2 linked regions of the Danio rerio genome follow. The protein of the gene in region 1 interacts with the protein of each later gene in a pairwise test. Links are inferred from orthologs where the notes say so. Each region holds a gene or a part of one and is shown in the gene's direction. Other genes may lie near its edges.

Evidence for each region. The genes of interacting proteins can lie anywhere in the genome.
Region 2: the proteins of xpo7 (region 1) and uso1 interact in binary tests that used the Homo sapiens proteins (3 or more experiments, as listed by UniProt). The two-hybrid records come from large-scale screens. The link is inferred for Danio rerio from reciprocal best matches to the Homo sapiens genes XPO7 and USO1.

What each region holds. Positions count from the first base shown.
Region 1 is NC_133185.1:24,927,689-24,938,546, forward strand, and holds the start of xpo7 (exportin-7), read left to right. Parts: upstream 1-5,417; 5' UTR 5,418-5,452; coding exon 5,453-5,470; intron 5,471-10,191; coding exon 10,192-10,338; intron 10,339-10,497; coding exon 10,498-10,591; intron 10,592-10,669; coding exon 10,670-10,836; intron 10,837-10,858.
Region 2 is NC_133176.1:28,109,247-28,117,316, forward strand, and holds the start of uso1 (general vesicular transport factor p115), read left to right. Parts: upstream 1-4,987; 5' UTR 4,988-5,148; coding exon 5,149-5,214; intron 5,215-5,797; coding exon 5,798-5,884; intron 5,885-8,070. Other genes in the region: g3bp2a (ras GTPase-activating protein-binding protein 2), read left to right, coding at 1,020-1,301. UniProt on the Homo sapiens protein: General vesicular transport factor required for intercisternal transport in the Golgi stack; it is required for transcytotic fusion and/or subsequent binding of the vesicles to the target membrane.

The sequences.
Region 1 (10,858 bases):
CAGCTCATTCACAAATATGGCGTCTTTCAGGCCCTTATATGTGTAGGACGGCAAGCTGATTGATTCCTTAATTCGTATCAGCATTTAACTATAGAGTTTTATGCAATACAGTATTTGATGAAATGTATGTAATTTATAGTCTTATGTTTCACTGGTATATCTTTGAGAAAAATTTAATTATTGGGACAGAAAGTAAAGATCATGTTCCATTAAAATATTTATTACATTTCTGAATTTTAATTGGTTTATTTGGACATCTTTAAATGTTTTTTTTTTCAATGATTAGTTTAATGTCATGAAAAGTCATGACTGCAAATGTTTTTTTCATGTTACACTAATTTATTTAATAGCCAATCTAATCAGCTAACAAAGTTTAATTGGGTGTTTTTAGTCAGGTTGACTGATGTGATGTGAGTTGAGGTGGCCCGAAAAGTTCATTTGTTTTAATAAAAAAAAAAAAAAATAGGTTGCAATATTTATTTATTTTTTACAGTTGTGTTTTGGCCAAATACTGTTTTGAAAAATTGGCTCATACAGTTGAAGTCAGAATTATTAACCTCCCATGTATTTTTTTTCTTTTTTAAATATTTCCAAAAATGATGTTTAACAGAGCAAGGAAATTTTCACAGTATGTCTGATAATATTTTTTCTTCTGGAGAAAGTCTTATTTGCTTCATTTCGGCTACATTAAAAGCAGTTTTTAATTTTATAAAAAGCATTTCAAGGTCGAAATTATTTGCCCCTTTAAGCAATTTTTTTTTTCGATAGTCTACAGAATAAAGCACTGTTATACAATAACTTGCCTAATTACCTTAACCTGCCTAGTGAATCTAATTAACCTAGTTAAGCCTAAAAATGTCACTTTAAGCTTTATAGAAATGTCTTGAAAAATATCTAGTGAAATCTTATTTGTTGTCAGCATGGCAAAGATCAAACAAATCAGTTATTAGAAATGAGCTATTAAAACTATTATGCTTAGAAATGTGTTTGAAAAATCTTCTTTCCTTTAAAAAGAAATTGGGGGAAAAAATAAACAGAGGGGCTAATAATTCTGACTTCAACTGTATCTTCTTCTTCTGGGCTTATTTCTATGTTTCAATCACAGCATATATCGATGATGTGAAAATTATAGATACTAGTTTACATTTTATAACCTTTACATTAAATAAATATGTAGAACAACAGTATTGCCTAAATGTACAATATGATCAGAAAAAAAGTATGGGATTTACCTTAGTAAATACTCTCACCAAAGATTTTATAAATATATGAGAAAACTACATGCATTTTGTTTTACTTTAAGTGAGAATGCTTCTTTTATAATGTGTATTTAAACTTTTGGGATTCATTCATTCATTTTCTTGTCGGCTTAGCCCCTTTATTAATCGACAGTCACAGCGGAATGAACCGCCAACTTATCCAGCACATTTTTGCGCAGCGGATGCCCTTCCAGCCGCAACCCATCTCTGGGAAACATTCACACACACACACACACAAACACACACACGCAAATGCAGGGAGAAAATGCAAACTCCCAAGCCGAGGCTCAAACCTGCAGCCCAGCGACCTTCTTGCTGTAAGGCGACACCATTTTTTGGGATTTATAGTCAATATATTTATCAAATGGGCGTCACGGTGTCACAGTGGGTAGCACGATCACCTGACAGCAAGAAGGTTGTTGGTTCAAGCCTCGGCTTGGTCAGTTGGCATTTCTGTGTGGAGTTTACATGTTCTTCTCATGTTTGCGTGGGTTTCCTCTGGGTGCTCTGGTGTCCCTCACAGTCCAAAGACATGTGGTACAGGTGAATTGGGTAGGTTAAAATTGTCCATGGTGTATGTGTGTGAGAATGAGAGTGTATGAGTGTTTTCCAGTGATGGGTTGCAGCTGGAAGGGCATCTGCTGCATAAAACATATGCTGCATAAGTTGGCGGTTCATTCTGCTGTGGTGACCTTAGATTAATGAAGCGACTAAGCCTAAAAGAAAATGAATGAATGAATGTCCATAGTGTACGTGTGTGAATGAGTGTGTAAAAAAATGTATAAATGAATATTTATCAAATCTCTTCATAAAATCTGTATAATAATATTTTAGAGCAGAATTTGGTGATTAATTTAATAATGATGTAAGGGGAAGTACCATATACAAAAACAGTCTATAAATCTAAAAATGAATCTGTTGATACTGTAATAAATGCAATTTACTTGAAAACACTATCATTTGTTATGTTTAAGGTTCTTGTTAGCAATTAAAGAAAATAGCTCAGTCTTGTAAATTCTTACAAGACAACATTACTTTGGGGCTATTTCTCAAGTCTGTCTTGTAATATTTTTCTTTTCACATTTTTGTATTGTAACTACTTCATTGTTGGATTATATGATCTCAAAATAAAAAGAATTTGTATTTCATAAATTATGTATAAATACATGTGCAGTTATTTTGCATCAAAACTGAATATAGAATTCATGCAAAAGGGTCAAAGACTGCAGCTGAAACCTCCACTCTGTGCAAAGGCAGTCTTTGGCCTTGTGACTTCCCACTGTCTTTTGGCATTTCAGTAGTTTCATCACTGGAATATGTTTTGTAAGAAAATACTCTTTTGAAATTTTACAAAGTTTGTTTTGTTTGTTTGGTAATTTGTTAAAATGTTGAATGTTCTCTATATAAAAATGTTACTTTAATCAATTCAGATGTACTTTATTTAGCATTTTATTAGTATTTGTTTAATTTTTTTAAATAAATCTTCATTTTAGTTGTGTAGGTTTAAGACTTGTTTATTTCAATTAGTTGCCAAGATAACATTTAAATTTAATTTTCATTGTTATATTTAACTTTTTGTATGTTTTAATTTGGCTTCTGGAAATATATTTTTAAATAATTTTAACTGTGGTTAGCACTGTCGCATCACAGCAAGAAGGTCGCTGGTTTGAGTCCCAGCTGGGCCAATTGGTGTTTCTGAAAAGAACTTGCACGTTCTACCTGTGTTTACATGGGTTTCCTCCGGTTGCTCCAGTGTCCCCCACAAAAGACATGCGCTATAGGTGAATTAGATGAACTAAAAAATGGCCCTATAGTCTATGAGTGCGTGTGTGAATGTGAGAGTGTATGGGTATTTCCCAGTACTGGGTTGCAGCTGGAAGGGCATCTGCTGTAAAACGTGCTGGAATAGTTGGCACTTTATTCCATTGTAGCAACCCCTGATAAAAAAATGGACTAAGCTGAAGAAAAATTAATGAATGAATTTTTATTGTGCAGTTTAACAGTATAATATCATTACCAGTGTTATTTTAATTTTTTGTAGCGTATTTTTATAGTTCCTGGCCATTAATAGGGAATTTTAAACAGTTAATCCTACTGAAATAATAAATACATCAAATGACAGAAACACAGACGTAAAATGCCACAGGTGTTTGTTTATAAAATAATTCACAACGTCTTCAAACACTGCTCAAATAATCAGAATCAAGGACCCGAAATCAGTTTTGTTAAAAATATATGGAGATGTCAATTACCAAGTAGAAAAACAGAAAGCAATTCTGAGTCACAGTGTGATAAAACCAATACAATAATAGCAGCAAACAAACTCTGGATGAAAAAAGCATCTAATCCTGTGGTGTCTCCACGCTCTCTTTCACTCCACTGAACACTCTGAATGAGCTGTTGGCTGGCAAAGCTACAGCTGACTGAAATTTTCTGTCGTAAAATCTTGTGGTTTGGTTGAGAGCCTGAAACCTGCCAGTTGAGTCATCTTCAAACCTTTATAGTGCTCAATTAACTGCATGTCATAATTCAAGAAGCTGATTTCCATTTTACTTGATCATTAAAAGGTAAAATACTTGCAATTAACAGCCACCAACAACTATACTTAGCAATGCGCTACCAACCAATTAGCAAAAATGCAAGCAATAACTAGAATCCTGTACATTCATTCATTTTTCTTCAGTTTAGTCCCTTTATTCCCCAGGGGTCGCCACAGCGGAATGAACAACCCATCCCTGGGAAATGCAACCCATCCCTGGGAAACACCCATACACTCTAATTCACAAACATACACTATGTACAATTTTAGCCTATAAATTCACTTGTACCGCTTGTTTTGGACTTGTGGGGGAAACGGGAGCACCTAGAGGAAACCCATATGAACACAGGGAGAACATGCAAACTCCACACAGAAATGCCAACTGACTCAGCCGAGGCTCAAACCAGCGACAATCTTGCTGTGAGGCGACAGCATAACGCCACCATGTCGCCCCCCAAACATACACTTCGGCCAATTTAGTTTATTTAATTCACCTATACTGTATTCCTGCATGTCTATAGACTGTGGGGGAAACCAGACCATCCAAAGGAAACCCAGGCGAACACTGGGAGGAGAACATGCAAACTCCACACAGAAATGCCGACCAAAGCAACCAGGGCTCGAACCAGAGACCTTTTTGCTGTGATGTGATTGTGCTATCCACTGCACCACCGGGACACCCTTATTGTCTGACTATAAAATAAAGCATACAAACATACACTACTTGACAAAAGTGTTGTAGTCGATCCCAGTTGCAAGAGCAACAAATAATAACTTGACTTTTAGTTGATCATTTGGAAAAGTGGCAGAAGGTAGATTTTCAGATGAATCATCTGTTGAACTGCATCCCAATCATCACAAATACTGCAGAACACCTATTGGAACCCGCATGGACCCTCACAGAAATCAGTCAAGTTTGTTGAAGGAAAAAGCATGGTTTTGGGGTTACATTCGGTATGTGGGTATGCGAGAGATCTGCAGAGTGGATGGCAACATTAACAGCCTGAGGTATTAAGACATTTGTGCAGCCCATAACATTAAAGACCACAGGGGAGGGCAAATTCTTCAGCAAGACAGTGCTCCTTTGCATACTTCAGTCTCCACATCAAAGTTCCTGAAAGCAAAGAAGGTCAAGGTGAATTGGTGAATTATGATAATATTCATTTAAGGATGAACTAATTCCATTAAATGCAGAATTTTGAAACAGTGAACATAACATTTTTACATTCAGGGTCACTGTACACATTTTTTTGACATCAAACAAGTGATGCACATTGTTTTGTGTAAAATTAGTCAGCACGTTTTTTTACTTTTACAACAGGTGCAAACATTCACCGCGTGAACACTCACAAAACATTTTCATCAGTTAATAGCCTTGATTCTCAACTTGCAAAGTTTAATCACGCTTGAAATTATAAATCCACGTGACAGCTAATATTTGAATTCGCAGTTTCACTTTAAGAAGCATGTAAACAAAGGCTCTTTTCGGCGTTATTTCGGCGGTGGACGTCCATCGTAACGGTATTCACGAAGCCTCGAGCGAACATCTGGCTTGATCAGTGCGTACGTCAATTGCGTAAATGTTCCAGTGATTGTGTGCAGATGCGCGCATGCTCATTGTCAGGGGGAGTGAGAGGAGCATGAATGGAGCAAAATGGCGGATCATGTGCAGGTAAGTAAATTATTTTGTTTTGCTATTATGAAATTAATGAATTTTGATTCACTGCAGTCTAATGGTAAATGTCGAGACTTATTTCGGCGATGCGTGCGTGTTTGTTTTAAATGCATGCTTCGCCAAACGAGAGAGCTTGACTAGCATGCTTTATTGGATGCGATTATCAAGTGTTGACTTGTGGCCTGTCATCATGTTGATTTTAACTCTGTGGTCCAAGCTAACACACAACTCTGTCGCATAAGTGAAAGTTGTTTTGAAGCAAGATGCGAAGACTATCGGTTTAAGCAGCAGGAATTGGCAGATACAGAGAGATTGTTTATTTCCCCCCCTGCACGTAACTCTATAGCGACAGTCATGTTTTACATTGTAAACAAGGCATCATCTTCATCCAAACCCTTGCTGTGCAATAACTACACACTGGCCTTATATCCACAATGCGATAGTGACTCGAAATAAGCGAGTCTTTTTTCCGAGTGAAAAGACTGCTGTTAAGCCTAAAAGCGCATTGTACTGTGGTTATCTGTCATTCTGTTATTGCTGAGCGCAAATGTGTCCGGTTTGCTGAGCTCTCGCGCTGTTAGCCTGTAGCTCTCATGCTAACTCATGAGATTCTCCCGCGCGCCGTCTCGTCAAACCAAAAGCCCGAGCAGAAATGAGTTTCTATTGAAAATTATAAGAACGAAATATTTGTTACTATTCCCCGCTAGATGTATGTCGGTAATTCTTATGAAAATCATTAAAATAGATGTATTATTTGTAACACATTTATTAATTTGTAGAGGTTGAGGGTAGTTGAATTGACTCCGCTGAATAACTGACATAACGTTAACTGGATGCACTTTAGTTAGCGAACCTGAAATAAACTTTTTGAGAGCTTTTCCACTAAATTATCCATATTGTTTTGCTTGTTAATCAAAATTCATTTGCAATGAAACAATATTCATCATAGTTTTAAATTTAATTTACTTTTCTGATAATGAAAATGTTTAAGGGATACAGTTTTAAATTTAATTTACTTTTCTGATAATGAAAATGTTTAAGGGAAAGTGTACTCTGAAAAAAAAGAATATTTAAGGGACAGGATACTCGAAAATAGCAGTTTTCTAATGAGAAACAGTGACCTTTTGTGAGTTGTTAATGGTTAACACTGAGAGCCAAAAACTAAAACATACAGGCCCAATAAAATAAATACCGGTGACTCCAATACCTGTGCTAGAAACTGAACATTATTTACGTTATTTTAAATCCACAGCTTCAGCAAATAAGTCTAAGCATGTACAGTCTTCCCAATAAATATTGTACATCTAAACTTAATCATACAAACATGTTTTTTTTCTCCCTCAATTATAGTTGTCAGTGTAAAGGATAGGATTTAAGTATCATTTTGATGAGCAATGTAACAGGCGTCCATTAAGGTAAAATTGGTTTTACATTCAGACAGTAAGACTTTCTCTATAATGATCATTTAAGAAAGGTATTCTTTGCAAGTTCTAAATAGTGATATAAGCAATCAATGACCATCGAAGTACAACATATGTCACAGTCAAATAAATAGTTGTAATGTTGTTTTGAAGTCATGCTTGCATGCGATTTCTGACCAAATATTCATGGTAAACAATATAGGGAGCATGTCACAAGTTGTCACTGAGCTAATGTGTGAATATAAAATCAATTTTACCTCGATGGACTCTTCACAAGCCTGTTATGTCGTGTTTAACGGTCATCAGCATCTAAAATCCTTGAAACTTTTTAATATTTAGATTTAAAAACAACAACAAAAAAACGCATGAACATTTATGTGTGTTTACGTATGCGTTATATCATCTTTGCATTAAATTCATTCATTTATTTTCTTGTCGTCTTAGTCCCTTTATTAATCTTGGGTCGCCACAGCGGAATGAACCGCCAACTTATCCAGCACGTTTTTTACGCAGTGGATGCCCTTCCAGCCGCAACCCATCTCTGGGAAACATCCACACACTTATTCATACACACACTCATATACTACAGACAATTTAGCCTACCCAATTCACCTGTACCGCATGTCTTTGGACTGTGGGGGACACCGGAGCACCCGGAGGAAACCCATGCGAACGCAGGGAGAACATGCAAACTCCACACAGAAACGCTAACTGAGCCGAGCCGAGGTTCGAACCAGCGACCTTCTTGCTGTGAAGTGACAGCACTACCTACTGCGTCACCTGCTTTAAATTACAAAAAGCAAATTACAGCTTGTGCGAGGTGTTCGTATGCAGAGTCTATGGGGCTGTGAGTAATTTGACATTATTCACATTATTGACATTACTCTGGCTGCCTTCATCAGTCTTGCACTATTTTTTCCTTTTTTCTGAAAGTTTTTATAACATCATCGCGGAGTTTTCTTATATTATTTAAGCAAATAAGATTGTAAAAAAAAAAAAATTGTTGTCCTCTTCCATTAACTTTGCTCCCAAGTTTTCCCAACCATGACGACTTCCGCTACTGAGAAACCCAGAAATGTATAAAGGGTCTATCATGCGTCCTCACACTCTGATGTAAACAAACAGCATCTCTGCTCTTGTGTGAATATGCACACATACATCATTGTGAGAGGAAGCTCACACTCCACTCCAGACTGTAGATTAAATGTTAATAATGTAGTAAATGATGTTCAGTTTCACTCGCAAAACCTCAGTATATCACCAGGAGACCACCGTTTCAGCTAAAGATCTTAATGTACGCAAGTCACTTTTAATTTGAAAAAGGTCATATATGTTTTGAGTAGACTTGGGGTAGTTCTATGTATCTTTTTTTTATTCGGTTGGTGAGAAATATTCCTTTAGTGATTCTCAAAATGAGTCTTAAGTGTAAATGACTTGTGTGTAAAAGTCTGCTAATAATTAAAATCATTATTTTTTCTTCTACTATTTAATTGTCACTGTCATAAAAAGTGGTTTCTAGACATCGTTTTAATGTGTCACTGGTACATTAAACGCTCTAGCTTTCTAGTGTTCAAACACAGACGCTGCTTGTCATCCGTTATCTCGTGACCAACCAGTTCATGACAAACGACAAGATGGGCCATATTTGAGGTCAAAAGTTAAAGAGGTCTTGAGGTTAAACACAGTGTTGCTTATTCCCATGAAATTTAATGAAGTCGTGGATGAAGCTGTTGATAACCTGACTCTCATTTGCACAGGCACCAGTAAACATGAGCTTTCCAGTGTTGTCACGCGTCCTGTTACTCTGTAGGTGGTAAAGGAGCCATTCCATTTGCAGCAATAGATTATTAATTACCATCGGAGCAGCAGTGCATCTTAAAGGGTCCTTGAGTGTTGCTGATCACATCCTGGCATCCCAACATACTTGTGTATATATGTTATGATTATCAACTAATGTTTCAAAATATGTGTTTATGTAATTATCTAATATGTTGTGAGGCCAATGAGGTGACTCAGCAATATTTCTTGGTTTTATCATTCAGTTCCCGTCTTGTTTAGTAGTTCCAAAAGATTGCAAAGTTTAATTGTAAATTGTGAAATAACTTTATTTATGTATGTTCTTATCATTAAGCAAAGCATGCTATTTTTAATTAATGTGTTATAGGTTAATTGTAGGTGGTTATCAACTTTTTATTTAGGATAACCCATTAATGATGTTTTCATTTGGGTTTCAGGGTTGTCTTATCTGTTCTGTGCAGTTTTCTGCAAATACAGCTTACATGTTATCTATTGGGATCCAAATGCATTTTTTCTGTTCTTTTAGGGGTCCTCCCTGTTCTTTTAGGGTCTCTTGATTCGTTTATCAGATCAAAATGTACAAATTTTTTATTACGTTCAAGTATTAAACTTTTCTTTAACAGGGTGTAACTCTCGGGCACCATTTCCAGATAACACTAGTATAGGCAACTGAGTTCATAAGTTCAGAATTTGTTTTGCATAATAAACGTGGAGTTTTTCATTGAGGCTGTGCATTTGTTGCGGCTGCTGTTTTTCTGCTGAGGCTGATTTTGTATAGTTATGCTCCACAAGGGAACAAAGAACTGTTTAGAGGCTTGTTGCTGCATAACACGAGTGAGCTCTTTCATTGCGCCTCTATGTATTAGTGTATCACTGACTTTTTTGCCAATCACCATATAGTCTTTCATGCATGCATGAACCAGATACTCCCTCAGTGACCTAGTACAATAAATTGTGGATGTGAGCGCTGCACATTAATTTGCCTAATGGAACATAAGTGTCTGGTTTGTCATAAACGTGATGTTTAATGTTGTGATTGTACAAGAAGATACAGAAGCTTTGCTGAAGTAATATTATTTGGCTTAGGGTACAACCTTAGCTTTGACGTAGCTGTTATGTCCAGGTTTGTTGAGGTAGTGTACTGTTACAGTTTCATAAGTGTTCTCAAATTTCAACTTAATCACAAGTTGTAAATGCAGTACTAACATGGTAAGTTTTTTTTTTTTTTGACCCATTCCCTCATTTATGAGAAGTGCATATGGTTTTAAAAAATAAAAATATATCAATCATATTTATATGAATAATGATAATTTTGGGTCAAAAGTAAACCAAAATGTGAAATTTGATTACAGATGGTTAAGAAATTATCTACCAAAATACATCTTTTGAATGTTGTTTTAATGAAGTCAAAACATATTTGTATTTCTAATATAAAAAATAATGTGATGGCAACAAAGACATTTAAATAGCAATGACTTTTTATTGTTTTTGTTCTTTCAGAGCCTAGCCCAGCTAGAGATCCTGTGCAAGCAGCTGTATGAGACCACAGACACCACCACACGTCTTCAGGCCGAGAAAGCACTGGTGGAGTTCACCAACAGTCCTGACTGCCTGAGTAAATGCCAGTTGTTGCTGGAAAGAGGAAGTGTAAGACTTTAACTTTCTGAAAACTGTAGAACACAATCTCTCAAATGATCTAACCTCAACTATTTTTTCAAAAACTCCATTCTTCCCTCATTATTTTGAGTTGAGTAAGTCTTTTCTGAATTGCGAACTGTGTTTTTGTTTGTTTGTTTGTTTTTCCAGTCCTCGTACTCACAGTTGTTGGCTGCGACGTGTCTCTCCAAGTTGGTGTCACGAACAAGTAACCCCCTTCCTCTGGAGCAGCGCATTGACATTCGTAAGTTTATAGAATCTGCCACAAATTCAACTTTAGAATTAAAACCCAATTTTTAAAATTGTTGAATTGATTCCTCAGGAAATTATGTTCTCAATTATCTGGCAACCCGGCCAAAGCTTGCTGCCTTCGTGACACAAGCCCTGATCCAGCTCTATGCCAGAATCACCAAACTCGGCTGGTTCGACTGCCAAAAGGAAGATTACGTCTTCAGGAATGTCATAGTTGATGTGACAAGATTTCTGCAGGTATGATTGATTATGAAAGTCT
Region 2 (8,070 bases), on another chromosome or scaffold:
AATTCATAAAAACACACACACACAAAAAGACATATTTTTAATATAAAAAGTAGTTGCGGACTGGATTTTTATTTTATTTTTTTTCTTTAATCACAGTATTGAACGTGAAAGATTAGAAACAACGTTGCCTTTGTACATAAGGGTTAATCAAATTATTATTACTCTTATTATTATTATTATTATTATTATTTGGCTAATAGAAACTTGCTATCTCATCAAACAGATATTGTTTTAAAAATTGGCTGACAATATTTTTGGGTAAATGAATATTGTTACACTGAATAAAATTTTAGTATGGGGGTTTCTATAGGCAAGGCAAGTTTATTTATATAGCACATTACATACACAGTGGCAATTTAAAGTGCTTTACATAAGCATGAATAAAAGAGACACGTATAACAAAATAAAAAAACAAATAATAAAAATGATTAACCGATTCAAATGTGTTGAAACTAGGTTATAAAAGAATGGAGAAAAAAAAAGAAAGACGTAATAGTGCGATCTGTCGGATGTAGCACAGTGCTGATTCAGTAAAGGCACAGCTAAACAGATCTGTTTTCAGTCTTGATTTGAATGTGCCTACTGTTGGAGCATATCTGATCATTTCTGGAAGCTGATTCCAGCATCGGGGTGCACAGTAGCTGAAGACGGATTCAACCTGCTTTGACTGAACTCTTGGAATTTCTAGTTTATTTGATCCTAAAGATCTGAGTTAGGTTTGTATTCAGTCAGCATATCTGTAATGTATTGAGGCCCTAGGCCAGGGGTGGGCAAACTCGGGCCTTGAGGGCTGGTGTCCTGCACAGCTTAGCTCTAACTCTAATCAAACACACCTGCTTATAGATTTCTAGTGATCCTTAAGACACTGATTAGCTTGTTCAGGTGTGCTTGATTAGTGTTGGAGCTAAACTGTGCAGGGCACCGGCCCTCCTTTGTTATATCCACAATCGATGCATCCCTGCTTGTAAGTTTCTTCATGTGTAAATATGTTTGTGCTTGTTTCTGTCATTTGTCTTTAGCCAATCATGTTCCGTGGAGAAGTTCGTCTGAATGTTGAGGAGAAAAAGACGAGAGCGATGCGTGAGCGGGAAACCAGAAGTGGAGTAGGAGACGATCGTCGAGACGTCAGGCGCAGTGATCGGGGGCCGGGTGGGCCGCGGGGCATCGCTGGAGGAAACATGATGCGAGAGCGAGACGGCAGAGGCCCGCCTTCACGTGTTGCCACTGTACCCAAGCCAGGCTTGGCTTCCGGAAGGGGCTCGGGTTCCAATGAGGGCCGTTTTAATGCTCAGAGGCGTTGAGAGGAGCTCTCCCTGTAGTTTGGAAGTAGTACGGTCTTCATTTATTCTGATATTGAGAAGTCTATGTAAAAAAACATATACATACTTCAGGTTTTTTTATTTTATATAATCTTCCTTACGCTTTGTTTTACACTTGCATTTTTGCCTTTGGAATGTCTACTGTTTCCGTTGAAGCAGTTCAACGACTTGAACAACCTAATGACTCATAACACACTATTCACTTTAAATTGGAATCGTGCTGCAAATCCTCTGGTTTGTTGATTATCAAATGGAAACAATTGCAAACTTTGTGGGGAAAGAAGTTGGGTGTTTTTAGTGCCGTATGAAGTTTAACCTCTGCTCTGTGGCATTTTGTATTAGATAACCTTCTAGTTTCTGCAAACTGTGCAGATGGAGAGATGGCCTTTTCTTTTCATCGTATTGATTTTGTTTTATTTTTCAGGCTAGCCTTTAATCCATATTATTTTAAATAATTACACTGAATAGCTCATTAATAAGCTAAATGCTACATGAAGTTGTAACTGTGAGCTAACACGATTTCAGCTTTATAAAACTGTAAAGAAAGAAAAGAAATGATTTAAGTTTGTAATCTGAAAAAAAAAAAAACGTAAGGGAGGAGAAAATACACTGTCCTCTCCAATTCTGTTTCTATATAAATCTTTCTTTTTATTGTACAGGTTTGGCAGCATTTATGTTCGTGTCTGCCTGAAAAAAGTAAATGGAGCAGTAATAGGTGCGTTTGTAAAGGTACCATGATTTTTGTGCAAATGCGTTCCAGATTTGAATGTTTTTTTTTTTTTTTTTTTTTTCTTAAGGCAAAGTCACTTTATGAAGTTTAAATTTTCAATCTCTTTTTTTATATCAGTTTTCATAGCCTAAATCTCTTTTTGTGATGTGCATTTTAGATTACATCCAAGCCATTGTTGTTTTTTTCATGACAGTATTCATACAGGGTACAGAGAAACCTTGCTGGTGTATTTCTGATTGTCCCAAATAGACTAGTTTTGCATTCAAACTGAAGTTATTGTTATCAATAGCATTTTAAAAACAGAACTGATTAGAAACGTAGTTTGAAACACATGAGATGGAAAAGGCTTCATTAATGAACGTTTTATACATTTGTGTTTTCAAGTAGAGTTTTTATTTTAATATCTACACCAAATGTCCATCTTTGTCTGGTCATAATGAAGAACCCGTAAATGCCGTTCTTCATGAATTGGAGGAACCATAGGTACAGTAGAGTAGACACTGTTTTCTTTTTGCAGTGTTACTCAAAAGTCTAAATTTGCACTGATTTTGTAAGTACAGTTTGATGTAGCGCTATTTTTGATGTTTAATGTCTTCCGTGTCAGGTAGATTGCACTATTTGCAGTATTTCTAGGACAATCCTCATCAGGGACATTGCATTTTTGATTTGTTCAGTAGTTTTGGGGACAACTTGTTCTCCACACTAAGACATTTTGGTTACAGATACTTTTACTATTTGGAAGATTTTGGAAGAAAGTATATCAGTAATTCCTGCCTAGAGACTTCTTTCCCCATCCATTCTACCTAGTTCGTACATGTTTTCAGTTTGGGAACTGGTACGTTTTAATTACTGTGTATATAAATGCCACAATGGCCTTTCTGTTTAGACTTAAAGCACTTCAATCAGCCAAATACGTTGAGCGTTTGATTCACAGGGGAGAAAAAAAAGAAGACCTTACACAATAGGGCTTGGTCAAATAACTGTGCTTTTCATCCCAAAATATGCATCAGACTTCTGATTTATTTTGTTTAGTTCATAATCAGATTCTTTTAACCCTCTGATCCTAATGCAAACTGTTTTGATTGGTTTCCGTGCAGTTTCTCTAAAAGTTATTATAGCGGCTCTGTTCGTTGATGTGGTTTTATTTTGGTGGAACAAGAACATGGACTTGTATTAGCAGATGGTTAACATATTATTTTACTTGGACTGCATATTTGTGTGAGTAGAATACGTTGCAGCTGGGTGTTTATTTATTACGTTTTGTAATTTTTCTTTCGTTTTCATTCAGTTTCAATGTGTTAGACTTCACATACAATAAACAGAAATCTGTGCTGTTCATTACAAGTGTCATGGCTTTAATTTACCACCTTACTGTACTGTGCAGGCTCATGATGAGCTTATTACTGTTGCTTTTTGCTGTTGTTTTGGAAGTTTTTATTCACATTGTTGCTGTTTTTAACACAATTTATATTTTTAAAATTCACAAACTGATTTTAGGAGATCATGCTTTTTTTCTGAAATCCAATATTTTTATTATATATATATATATATATATATATATATATATATATATATATATATATATATATATATATATATATATATCTCAAATCATGTTGGTCATGTGGCTGAATTAAAGATGTGCTAGTTATGTCACAAATACACTCACGCTACCCGAGTTATGACCCTTACAACATTTTTTGAAGTTTAATTGCTCTCTTTTTATTAAACTGTCCAGTCCACCATCAAATGTAGGATGAAGGTTAAGTGTTGTGTAGCACATTTTGCCTCTAATACAGTGAATATTTTGCCATAGGATTGAACCTGTATTGTTAACATACATACATACATACATATATATACATATATATACACACATATATATATATATATATATATATATATATATATATATATATATATATATATATATATATATATATATATATGCCCCTCTAATATTACTGTGATATAATATTAATAGTAATATAAAAATGTTCATATGATTTATTTACAATACAGTTTGTAAAGTAATATTTTCTTTTTTTTTTAAACATTTTATATAAGAGTTGGTTTGTTAACCAAATGAGGGGAACTAGATGGATTTGAATTGTAAGTGTTTAATAAAACGTTTAAAATTTATTTTCTACTATATATTTTACGTTTTTAGTTATGACGCTCTTCAAATCATTTTGCATAAATCCACAGATTTTTTTTACTATATTTTCAGCAGAAATAGCAAACAATGTCTACAGATTCTGTCTGGCCTTTGTTATTACCTATGCATTGTTTGCTAGATAGATAAAACACCTATTGTATTGGAAAACAGTTTGTGATTTAATCTGACTAAATTGTGATTGTTTTAAACTAATAACTGAAAACATGCTAAAATGTTTGAAGAAAAGCTCATTTTTTAACCCGTTTCTTGAAAATACAGAATATATTTTTCGGATAGATTTAGCAACACAACAATGTAGTTATAAAATACTTTAAAAATTAATTAGACATTTTTTCAGAAGGTCAACAGTAAAATTTAATCACACTTTGCTAGCAGATTCATTTTTTAAAATATGAAATATGTTTTTTGACAAAAAAGATATGACAAAAGCAGCAAATTGAAATGCTGCCTTTATGGATCGCAGTCTAACTATTAATAACATTTTATAAAGAATTTCAATCCTGTGCAAAATTCCTGTTTATTGTTCTATTCTATCACTGAAGTTATTACCAAATTTTCAAAATGTGTGGTTTTGTTTATTTATTATTCGTTTGTTTGCTTGCTTGTTTGAAACACTACTGCACACGAAAAGGCGTTTTTCTATTACTAGAAGTTACTCATTTACATCGTGTTTTTGTGTCATCTGTCTCTTTAAGACATCGTCACTGACACTGTGGTCAGCCACGTATCGCCACGTTTATGCGCATGCGTGTCCTTGTCAGTTCCGGGCTGGGTGCTGGTGTGTTGTGAGATCAACATCAGGCAGCTGCTGTTAAATGACATTTGCTGTCTATCTCTCCTGGAAAATCAGTTTATTTCACCTGAGGTTTAGTCTGCCTTGTGATCAACATTGAAAATATTAGTAAAGCGGACACAGAACGATGGATTTCCTAAGGGGAGTAATGGGAAGCAAACCAGCAGGCCCGCAGCCGACTGGAGCAGAAACAGTGAGCTAATTTACTGCATAAACACATACATCTGACGTTATGCGTGTAAACCAATAAAAAATTAACTCAGCTTGCAGATTACTGAGACTAACTGATTGTTAATCAAATGACAAACAACCCTGATGTAAAGCTAGTTTAAATGGCATATATGACAGTCGTTTTTAGTAATTTGATGGTTTTAATGTTCTCCATCGTGTGTGTGTGTGTGTGTGTGTGTGTATGTGTGTGTGTGTGTGTGTGTACACACACACATACATACATACTAACATACACACACACACACACACACACACACACACACACACACACATATATATATATATATATATATATATATATATATATATATATATACACACACACATACATGCATACATATATACATACATACATTCTATGTGTGTGTGTGTGTGTGTGTGTGTATATGTATATACACACACACACACACATACATGCATACATATATACATACATACATTCTATGTGAACTTATTGGATACTTGAAATAAAGTAAGGTTTGCCACACTATGATGAGGCAATTACGAACCATTCTTTTGTGTCTTTCTGTTGATTTAATCTTCAGATTCAGAAGCTGTGTGATCGTGTGGCTTCATCAACCCTGTTGGAGGATCGAAGAGATGCTGTTCGTGCCCTCAAATCCCTGTCCAAGGTGACCAGAAGTTAATGCTTGTCATGTTGATGCTTGTCATTGAGGTGTTTTAATTATACACAGCATTATACACAATAACACTCCATTAAACTGAGCAATAGTGTAAGTAGAATGTCTGTCAAATGCTTTTGATCTGTTTCATTCAAAGAATCTTTACAAAAGCACAGTGCCTAGAACTAGTACTGTTCAGTATAGATAATTAGAAGTTCAAAATCTGTTATGAATTAAAATCATACACTACTTTTTATAGCAACTATGCTTGCTAAAATTGCAGCATAGTTCAGTTGAGGAATATAAATACTGTTGTTTGCATTAATGCACAACAACCTCTTTTTCCATGCCATATTGTGATTGTATTGTAGCTTTTAAATGCTGCTTTGTTGAAATTCTTAACAAGTTAATTTAATGTCATCATTCCACTTAAAGAACATCCCTGACTAAACACAATGTTACTATGCAACTAAAATTGCAATCTGCTATGAGGTCTGAGCTATGACATTGTGAAAAAATGTTTTTGTGCAATATAATGGAATGTGCAAGACAGAATTTTTTAATCGTGCAGCCCTTATACTGTTGAAGTCAGAGTTTTTAGCCCCCTTTGAATTTTTTTTCCGTTATTAAATATTTCCTGAATGTTTAACAGAGTCAGGAAATTTTCACATTATGTCTGATACAATTTTTTTCTTCTGGAGAAAGTCTTATTTATTTTTTTCAGCTGGAATAAAAGCAGTCTTAATTTTTGTTAAAAAGTTTTAAGGTTTAAATTACTAACCCCTTTAAGCAATTTTTTTCGATAGTCTACATAACAAACCCTCATTATACAATGACTTGCCTAATTACCCTAACCTGCTTAGTTAACCTAATTAACCTAGTTAAGCCTTTAAATTTCAATTTAAAAGGTTGTCTTTAAAAATATCTAGTAAAATATTATTTAATGTCATCATGGCAAAGATTAAAGAAATCAGTTATTAATGATTAAGTTCAGAAATGTGTTGAAAAAAATCTTTCCATTAAAAAGAAATTGAGGAAAAAGTATAAACAGGGGCTAATAATTCAGGAGGGCTAAGAATTCTGACTTCAATTGTGTGTGTGTGTGTGTATGTATATATATATATATATATATATATATATATATATATATATATATATATATATATATATATATATATGCATATATATATATATATATATATATGTATATATATATATGCATATATATATATATATATGTATATGTATATGTGTATATATATATATATATATTTATTAAGGGTGTCACGATTTCGATTTTTAATCGAAATCGATCAATTTATGCTCGATTTTGATTATCGAATCAAAAAATAGAATCGTCGATGCTGCCACGCCCCCATGTCACGTCAGCTTGGCTTGCCAAGCGGAAAAAAACACGCTTGTTAAAGTGCTCATTGAACTGTGCAGACGCAGGTGACCCATCTACAGAGCTTAAACCTTCAGGGCTCGACAATAAGGACTGCCCGATAGCCCGGAGCCAGCGTGAGTGACGCTCGGGCCAGTGTACAGTGGTGCCTTGATGCCTGACAGATCGAGCCAGAGCTGCGTGCTGCGACTGTCTGTCAATTGTGTGCAAATACAATCTTATGGTGCTTTGACACATAGACGTTTGTATGATTATGATTAAATATGTTAAACTAAGCTTCTTCTGCTCACCAAGGCTGCAATTATTTCATCATAAATACAAATTATGAAATGTTGCACTATAAAATAACTGTTCAAAAGTAGTTTATCATTTAATTTATTCATTTATTCCAGTGATTTTAAAGATGAAATTTCAGCTTCATTACTCCAGTCACCTGATCCTTCAGAAATCACTAATATTAATTATTATTATACTTATTATAGTAATAAAAGCAATAATGTCTGGAGTAATAATTTTATTTGAAACTACATACAATAATGAAGCAGTTATTTAAAGTTTTGAAAAATATTTAACAATTTAACATTTTTTACATTTAATAAATGTAGCCTTAATGAACTGAATAAGTTTTCTTAAAAACGTAAAAAAAATTACTGTAAATATATATACAGTGAAAGTCAGAATTTTTAGCCCCCCTTTGTTGTTTTTTTCTTTTTAAAATATTTCCTATATGACGTTTAACAGAGCAAGGAAATGTTGATAGTATGTCTGATAATATTTTTTCCTCTGAACA